Saccharomyces cerevisiae S288C: one gene and its partner. Changing the gene in region 2 together with the main gene of any one other region gives a genetic interaction. Each region holds a gene or a part of one and is shown on either strand. Other genes may lie near its edges.

The links.
Region 1: of TRK1 (region 2) and PRM6, extra expression of one rescues a mutant of the other (dosage rescue), as found in Saccharomyces cerevisiae (2 studies listed by BioGRID, with this or other methods).

The regions. Positions count from the first base shown.
Region 1 is NC_001145.3:179,517-183,079, reverse strand, and holds PRM6 (pheromone-regulated K(+) transporter PRM6), read left to right. Parts: upstream 1-2,004; coding exon 2,005-3,063; downstream 3,064-3,563. Other genes in the region: PRP39 (Prp39p), read right to left, coding at 1-1,606; GSF2 (Gsf2p), read right to left, coding at 3,443-3,563. UniProt on the Saccharomyces cerevisiae protein: Low affinity potassium transporter that, with KCH1, participates in high-affinity Ca(2+) influx system (HACS) activation during the response to mating pheromone. Directly promotes K(+) influx and HACS may electrochemically respond to this K(+) influx.
Region 2 is NC_001142.9:173,069-178,917, forward strand, and holds TRK1 (Trk1p), read right to left. Parts: upstream 4,239-5,849; coding exon 531-4,238; downstream 1-530. Other genes in the region: mitogen-activated protein kinase kinase PBS2, read right to left, coding at 5,029-5,849. UniProt on the Saccharomyces cerevisiae protein: This protein is required for high-affinity potassium transport.

The sequences.
Region 1 (3,563 bases), on a different chromosome or scaffold from region 2:
CAAATGTATTTGAATCTATAATGGAGGATTCATACGTGACGATATTTGAATGAGTTAAATAGAAAGTCTTATAATCCGTCAAAATATCATTCATTACTGTAGTCGGCAAGTATATTTCTACCCCAAGCTCCCTAATGAATTTATTCAGCTTGGTAAAATTTACATTACTCTTTTCAAATTTGTAGTAAGTTAACCAGAACGGTACAGAATTTTTAATGAGGATGTTTTTTTGATAAAGGTTGAAATATTTCCTTGTTTGCATATTATTTTTAAGTACAAGCCATGTAGTTTTTATCAATTCTACCACGACTATGCTTAAGTTTTTATCATTTATTAAGGTCTGTAAATGCACCTTGGCATCAATTTGATTATTGATGTAGTTGGTGATTGATGTCTCTAGGATTTTAGTAAACGATGTTTGTTTCTCTAGAATTTCCTTTGGCGATTGATCTAAGGAATTCTTAAAAGAATGTCTTTTCAACATACAAAGGTACTCCGTCATAAGTAATATGTCGTTGGGCCAAATCTTTAAATAACGCGATACTGTCTCATTGAATATGTTATTGAATAAGGTATTATTTGACCGATATTTTCTTTTCAAAAACCTAAGAAAATCATACCTCAAAGTTTTGAAATCCAGTGGTAAGAACGTATTGGCTTTTTGGTATATATCCACTACCACTTCATCGGATATATTTTTCTTTGTTAGCCACTTAATATACATCATCCACGTATTTTCATGGTAAAGACAAGGAATCAAACATCTGTCAAAAACGGACATTACGAATTCTTTATCCAAGGATTTTGAAGGATCCGTCACAAATTTTAAATATCGCGACCAATTTTCCAAATCATCATTTAACACTTGGCCCAGGTTGAAGAAGGGCTGTTTGATTTTCGATTCGAACTGCCAAATTTCATTTACTGTTGTTTGTGTTTTTCGTAAAACTATATCAATATTCCTTGTTGTCTTCAAATTTTTTTCATTTAAAAACTTCTTGTAAGATGTGAAAAACCGCGCATACTGATGTAGAGGAACTTCAATAATGTACTCGTATATTCTTTGAACGTTATGCCAATTCTTCTGCCCAACTTCAAATTCTATAAACTTGTCCCAAAAAGGGTGTGATAGAAACTGCTTGCCAATAAGATCCTTTGCAATTTCAAAATTATTCCTAATAAAATCCGTTTCGTTCGGGTTATTAACACACAACACATTCAAATAATCACACCATAACTCCAGAGAAGTTGGGAACCATTTGACCGAGGTGGCCAGAACAGCAATCGATTTCTTGAGACCAAATAACTGGTACTCAATAGTAGCAAACCTCTTCCAAAATCCAAACAATAAAGGGTACTTACGCAATATTTGCCATAAAATAGTTTCCAAGGCCAATTTGATTGAATCATTTGGATTGCCATATTTAACCACTGTTTGCTCTATAACATCTACCATTTGGGTCAACGAAGAAATATCTGACCAGTCTAAACCACGATATGCTTGTACTAATGCTGTGTTGTCTTGAAGGAACTGGGTGTCCAAACCTCGAAGGGCATCAGGCCTAGGCTCAATATCTTCTATTGTAAAATTTGTTTCATCTGGCATAACGAAAGACGGATTGCCAAGTATCCAATAGCAGTAAGGGCCAAAACTTTTTGTTGAACAAAGAAATGGCTGTGGAAGGCGCGTTTTTACTTTAGGACTTTGAAAACTTTCTTGCGTAAATTCTGTTTAAGTCTGAAACTTTCAACTCTGTATTAAATTTGTTTTAAGATGTGCGACGGCGACGTAAAATGGTAAAGAAAAAGAAAATGAATGATAGTAAATCATACTGAAAACGAATGATCTGAAACAATAAAAAAAGATATTTGTATATAAATTATTCAGCCATGCTCAAACCTCCAGATTAAAAATCAATAATGGATTAATTGAAAGCCCTGGAGCTGGCATTTTTTACCACATTGTCTAAGAGGGAAAGGAAAATGACAACAAAGCGCTAAATAATGGAATCAAGTTTACAAAAATTGAAATTCCAGGATATTGACATAAATCTTATTCCTACTGCGAAGTGGACCACAAAATTACAGTATATTCTATACACCTGGTGTCAGTCGATACTACATGTGGCCATGTTTTTTTCTGATATATACACGTGTATTAAATTACTGGCATTTAACACATGGTCGAACAATATCATCCAACCATTCTTGGAATTCCGTATTTCAAAATGGTTGTTTAGCGGATGCATATTATGCTCCTCATTAATATTAATTTGGGAGTTGGTAATTGGATTGAGAGTGTATAGGAAGAAAGAGATTACATCGAACTACATGAATGGCATTAGCAGATTAATAAATTGCTTGTTCAATTTCAAAAAGTATCAAATTTTCGAACTAATAGTGCTGACTGATGAGAAAAAATTCAGTAAGTGGTTATTCTTTTCATATTTTGAAATCAGTGGATGTTTGAGGCTATTGTTCGGTGACTCTCCAAGGCAAATAATCAACGGATTAACTTTGTGGTCAGTTTTACTGACAGTTTCGAATGAGACCAGTAGCGGAACCCATAGTACTCAAAGCCTAGGTAATTTAGATGACCTAAATGGAATAATAAACAAGATAAAACATATTGCTAAGACAAATTACGAAGAAAGTGTGATCTTGTCCTTCATGTTGTTCTCGTTTATCATATGGGTAATTTTAATAAGCAAATTAATTCTAAGCATAATAATATTCATCATTTTTATACGTCCGAGATTTTTGTCTAGTAAAAGGAAGGTTAAGGGGTATGAATTGAAACTACGAAAGTATGTGTCTAAAGTCATTGACGAGAATTTAAGTAGAACTGTCTACGAATTGGGAATATTGATAGATGATGAGGAAGAAGGGACCATATGTGGTGACAACAAAACGCAAAAAAAATTCGATTATGATAGTCCTGATTATGGCGACGAAAGCACAATACCGAGTTACTACTGCTACTCGGATGTAGAAACGTACGAAAGAGTATATACGCCCATAAAGGCATATTTCCCCCAGAAATACAAACATAAATACATATAAATGTAAACGAAGCTTTTTTTGACTGCAAAAATGCATTAAAAGTAAATCGATTCTCATTTATTGTATATATATTGTATATATTGTATGAAATATTTATAATGATAATGATAGTAACAAAAACCATTGATGGCTATAAACAATGAAACAAAAAAAAGCACTACGAAAACAGTAGATTCGTGAGGAATTGAAAAAAAGAGTGAAAAAACTAATAAAAACAACGAGAGTAAATAGGATAGTACAAAAATACTAGGAGTAAAAAAAGGCCCTCTAGTAGTAGTAATAGTAATAGTAATAGTAGTAGTACTAGTAGTAGTAGTAGTAGTTAAAGGCTATGGTTGAATAAAAAAAAAGTCTGGATGGTAGTGTTTTGGTTTTACAATTAATTAGATTTTTTCAAATCATTCTTTTTTATACCAAAAGTAGCATCATTGTTTGATGCTTTCTCTTTCTCATCAGCAATTTCTCTTCTGAGCTTAACTAGCGAGGCCAGTTTTTCATCT
Region 2 (5,849 bases):
CAAAATAGAGAAGGAAAGAGAGGATTCTCTCTCTGAGTAAAATCGATGAGTGGGGATTTTGTCAAAGTATTTATACTTTTTGTCCATACCATTTGTCCTACTTTTTTACCGTTTTTTTTTTTTTCAAGGCCAGGGAAAAAAGAGTCATTGCGTTTGTGTGACATTTCTTTTAATATTCATCGGAGAACACCGGCGGGCCACAGAGAAAAAAAAAAAGTCCATATTCCATGTACACTGCAAATAACCAAGATTTTTCATTTTTCACGAAAAGAGGGACAATGTACTAATGGCGTTGACGATGACGAAAGCACCATTTTGGACATTGTATGTCGTACATTATCGTAGAGAGATTCGGTTGTCTTTAAGGGACCGAAAAAAAGAAAGAAATCTTAGGACATCAGAAATGTACGTAGGCAAATGTATATCACAATGTTACTAATCAAGGTTAAAAAAAAAAAATCCTTTTAATGCTTAATTACCTTCTTAAATATTGAGTACGAAAACCTATTTCTAAAGAATGAGTATATATGTTAGAGCGTTGTGCTGCTCCTTTTAGGATTTCGGGAATGTGTGGTCTTACGCTTAAGAGCTCCCCAACGATGTTTCACATCAGTGAAACTTCTCTTGAAATGTTCCGTCATTGGGTCTTCTGTATTGGTTCTAGCCTGTCTCTTCAATTTCATGCCCTCAAGGTGGTCAATATGTTCAAGTCTATCACTAGGCAAGATAATTGCACGATCCAGTGAGTATGGTAGACCTCTATTCTTGCCTCTGATCAGCATAGCTATGATCACCAACTTAGATAATGTAGTAAACTGTCTTGAAAACGATTGGTTGGTGTCCGGATAACCTAGCGATAGCCCAACTGTACCGTAAGCGCTAACAATTTCAAAAAGAATTGCAAATATATTAAAGTTTGGTTCTTGTACGTCCTTTATCTTGTCCCCTTCACAAATGCAAATGATAAATAACCCTAAAAATAGAAACCACAAGTCAAATGAAAGCTGTTTCCTTAAATGGGCACCGATAAAGGATTTTGTAGATATTTCATTTGGATTTTCAGTTTTCTTTTTCTTTTTCTTTTTCCTGTTGTTATTGTTGTTGTTGTTCGAACTACTTCTTTGACTACTTTGACCTTCGTGACTCTCGTTTTCCTCGTCGTCATCTTCATCGTTACCATCGTCTTCAGTATCCGTATCTTCTGGTTCTCCCCCCATATCTCCATATAGTCCTAAAGATTGCTCCTCGTAAACATTTGTCCGTCGAATAGAGATGGCCAATGGTAATACGGAGACATACATCATTAGCATATAGGAGACTTGGATAGAAGGATGCAGTTGACTTAAATCGACAACGCTGAATCCAGCAGTTCTTGTGCTAACAGATTGAAACAGGCCGACAAGGACTCTATAGCCTTTCGATAATGATTTCACAACTGTTGAGCCAAAATCTAGAATAATAAATAAAATCCAATCAGTTATATTCAATCCTGCAAGCGTTAAAAGTAGCCACCATGTAGCTGCCTTAGGAAATAGCAAGGTGAAACAACGACGTGGATGGTCTAAGAGAAAACCTAAACTTTCTCTCATCTGTGATAAATCAGGAGAAATTTTAAACATTATCCAAATGATGCATCTAAGAAGGATGGGAAACCCTGTATTTCCGATAATGATAAACCAAATCATAACGATCAATGGGTATACAGCTTTGTTAAACGACATCATTGAATTTGGAGTTAATGTCAAACCTAAATCATTAAATGCACTCATTGCTGTCCAAAATCCCCACCATGTAGGTGAAACACCATCATCTCTAACAACTTCACTATAATGCTTTTTCAAAATAATCCAAGGTACTAACATAACAAAAGCAACAATATGCCATCCAACGTAGTAGACAACCAATATGGTGCATAAAAGTTTGATTGCTCTGTACTCGACACCACCTAATTCATCTTTCTGGGCTCTTGTTAATCCAAGGAAGTTTGAGTTACGTCCAATAGTTGGTTGCCATGATAGATACGTTTTACCACTGCCTTTAGATAAATCATGACGAGGATCTAGGTCATAATCGGTATCGAAATGTAAACCATAATAGCCTTCTTCATCGTCGTTGTAAGTAGGATAGTTGTTAAGACCATTGTGGTCGCTTCCTCCATTCGTGGAATAGATATTCTCATTAGAGTCGGAAGAGGCTTCTTCGCTTCCATTTTTATGAGAGCCATCATGATGTAAAATAGACTCTGCGTAATGAAGAATACTGTTTCCAGTATTACTATTATCAGGATAATTGCGATCGCTGTCAGATGCATAGGGACCATGTTCAAATATCTTGTTATTCCATCCCCTCTTCCTAAAGTTCGGTTTTTTTCTATGATGGGCTTTCCAATTTTGATAGACCATTTTTTGAAAATCAGGCGTCCTTGCGAGCTCATTTAGATCCTTAGCCTCTGCCATATCGATGGTCCTGGAACGTTCCATAGGAACTGCTCTTGAACGATTATCATCAAATGATTTGGTTTTATACATGCGGTGCAGGTTCTGCTGCAGTTGGTGTTTTTCTTGCTGTTGTTGGTGCGATTTGAGTTCTGAATCAGAATGTGGTTCAGACTGCTGTACTCGTTCATCTTCATCGCCGCTTTCGTTGTCAGCAAAGTATTCTTCGTTGTTATCGCCGTCGTTGTCATCGTCATCATCATCATCATCCATATCAGTAATAGGTTTTCTATCTGAAACATTGTTACTGCTGTTTTTCTCAATTGAACCAGTAGAAAGCCTTCTCTTAATTTGTTGCCGTATTCGCCGCGCTTTAGGAAAATGTTTCATGAGGTACTTCTTCGATGCTTTTTTTCGATAAAGAACGGAAGATTTTGGGTTCAAATCATCGAAGGTTGAAACTCTTTTTGAAATTTTTCTAGGAGGTTTAGTTATATCGAATTGAATTGATGGCCCATGCTTTTTGTCTGTTTCTGCGTTATCAGTAATGGCTATCGGGCCCGAATTTGATCTATGAGTATTTGTTCTTAATGAAGGTACTTTGTTACCAAAATTTGTGTGTAACGAGCTTTCGTCCGAAACGCTCGCCGTACTGTTTGCTTCACTTGACACGGAATTTTGATCAGTGTTACTTTCATTTCCCTTATCTCGAATCTTGATTTTGTTACCATTTATGCCGGTGGCCTTCTTTAGCTTATTGACATTACTTTTATATCTTGTGCCATCCGCAGGGGACCCGATGACTAAAGGGGGACCTTCATCTTCAGCAGTTGCTTCATGCTTACCTTGTAGCATCATAATGGATCGATACATATCGGCTGGGCTAATATCTCTTGAACCCCTTCTTTTTGCAAATTTCTCTGAGGGAACTCTTGCGGGTCTTTGTTTGCTGTGTGGCTCATCAAACCGAAGACTGCTTGGCTTGGGCTTCTGATTTAAACTTTCGTCTGCAACTGTGTTAGACGAACTACCTACCGTCGAGTAGGAGTTGTTCTCCTGATATTCTCCATTGTCATCCGTTTCGTCTTCCTTAACGAAATCATCTAAACTGCCACTGCTACCATTGTGATTCGTATTATTATTGCTGCTGTCCCTACTAATGTCATGAGAATTCTGGTCGCTGTGAACTGAGTCCTGCTCATCTCTATTAACCATTTCTCCGCTGAACAATTTTTCTTGGAAATCATCTGTTTTAGCTTGTTTCCTAGGATAAGACGTTCTTTGGGTACCTGTTCTATTCTTGGTCATGGTTCTTGCTGTTAGTTCCCTTTCTAAGATTGTTTTCGTTCTTCTCATCTTAAAATTTCGTCTAGAAGAGTCTCTAATACCATCGAAGTAGCGCTCAAACCAGTAAAGCCGTACAAATGCCAAGCAACTATGAACTGCAATTGGTGTTGATATGCAGCATACGATATACAGAACAATTTGTTGGTATAAGCTTAGATTGTTGATATCCACAGTATTTAAGCCACCTTGTGTAACTGCGCCCGCTGCTAAAAACAATGTATCAATGTATCTGGTATTCTTAATGGGATATAGCAGGATTGAAGTTATTAATGTCAGGGATATCGTGTAGAAGTAGTGAACCGCGATAAAACTGGGGAAGATATATTTTTTAACTGGAGCAAAATAGTGACCACATAGAGCAATAAAATCACGAAATTTATGGCCGAAAGATTTTTTATATCGTATTTCAAGAGATGCCAATGTGGGCACTCTACTCATCGTTCTTCTAAAATGCATTGTTAGTTATCAAAAAAAGGTAATAACTTTAAGTAAAATGGATAGGAATGACTTCCTTGAGAGCCAATAGAATACCCTCCTTCTTTTTAAGGCAATACAAGTGTGGAATCAGTGATGCTAATGGTAAGGTAAAAACAATGGGCGAAAGGAAAGCAACAGTAACAAAAAGTTTCTAATAATGTAAGAGCTCTTTATCTTGATAGGTAATTATTTACTGTTTTCCGTGAAAGTAGCAAAATTTAGAAGTTAGGGTAAGATACAGGTATAGTTCCTGGTCCAGACTCCACATCTACTCTCAATAACGTGGATTTGAACTTTCAAAACACCTTTTATTTTCTCGATGATTTTGGACTTTTTTTTCTTTCCTAGCCTTGAGCCGTAAAGAGCGGAAAAACCATCAGACAATTCCAGAGCATTTTTTCTTTCTTGCGTTGTCAGCCCCGAACGTAAATAATTTCGAGGAGTCGATGGCCGTAGCAATAATCGAATAACACAATATATTGACGTCCACATCGCTTCACTTGCCGGTGCTTGAAATAACATCCCCTCAATACTCTGTCATAATTCGTGCCCTTTTTTAGGTTCGACAAAAGGAAGTCAGACGATATATATATATGAATATATATATATATATATGTCTATAACGAGTATAATGCAAGTTTATTACAATAAACATATGTATATGTAAGGTTTTTTTGTATTCGCCGCATCATTTCCACAGTAGCTTTTCGTCTGCTTTTTTTTTGTTGTTATATTCACGTGCCTGTTTGCTTTTATTTGGATATTAACGCTATAAACCACCCATATGTAATGCCGGTACATTTTTAGATAAACCATTCTCACCACGTTCCCGTAAGATTTTGTTGCGCCTTTCTAATCGTTCAGTGATATACTCACTCATGTGGACATCCTGGTTTCTGTATTTTACTAACCAAGGATGCTCTGTTAAAGCTGCGTATGTAGGTCTTCTTTCCGGAATCTTTTGTAGACATAAAGAAACAAAATCTTGTGCGTCAGAACTGAATTTATCTGAAGGTAATCTCGGTGGCGGCCCATCAACAATAGCGCTCAATTGAGAGAAAATGTTGTCGTATGTTTCTGGTGGATACGGATATCTACCTAGTGCCATTTCCAGAATGCTTAAACCTAAAGACCAGATGTCTGACTGTACGGTATAGGTGGCTCTATCTGGATTCAACGATTTGATTCGTTCAGGTGCCATGTATGACTGACAACCAATATTAGTCTTCGCTAAAGATGCCACCAAATTACCAGAAACACCGAAATCGCACAGCTTTACGGTGCCTTGGTTGGCTGAACATAAAATATTTGTTGGTTTGACATCTCTGTGTATGATATTATGCTGCTCTTTGAGTTCTTTTAGTCCATGAATGACAGCATTGGCAATAAACGCTAGCTGAGGTTCATCAATGCCGCCGATTTCAGATGATTCGTCGTATATTTTATCCAAGGAACCACCATCCATGTATTCCATACACATGTAGACGGCGCCCTCAATAAAGAATGCACCATAAAAATCCACAATATAGGGAGAATTGCATTTATGCAAAACTTCTAGTTCCATTAAAATTTGTCTAAATTTAGCCTCAT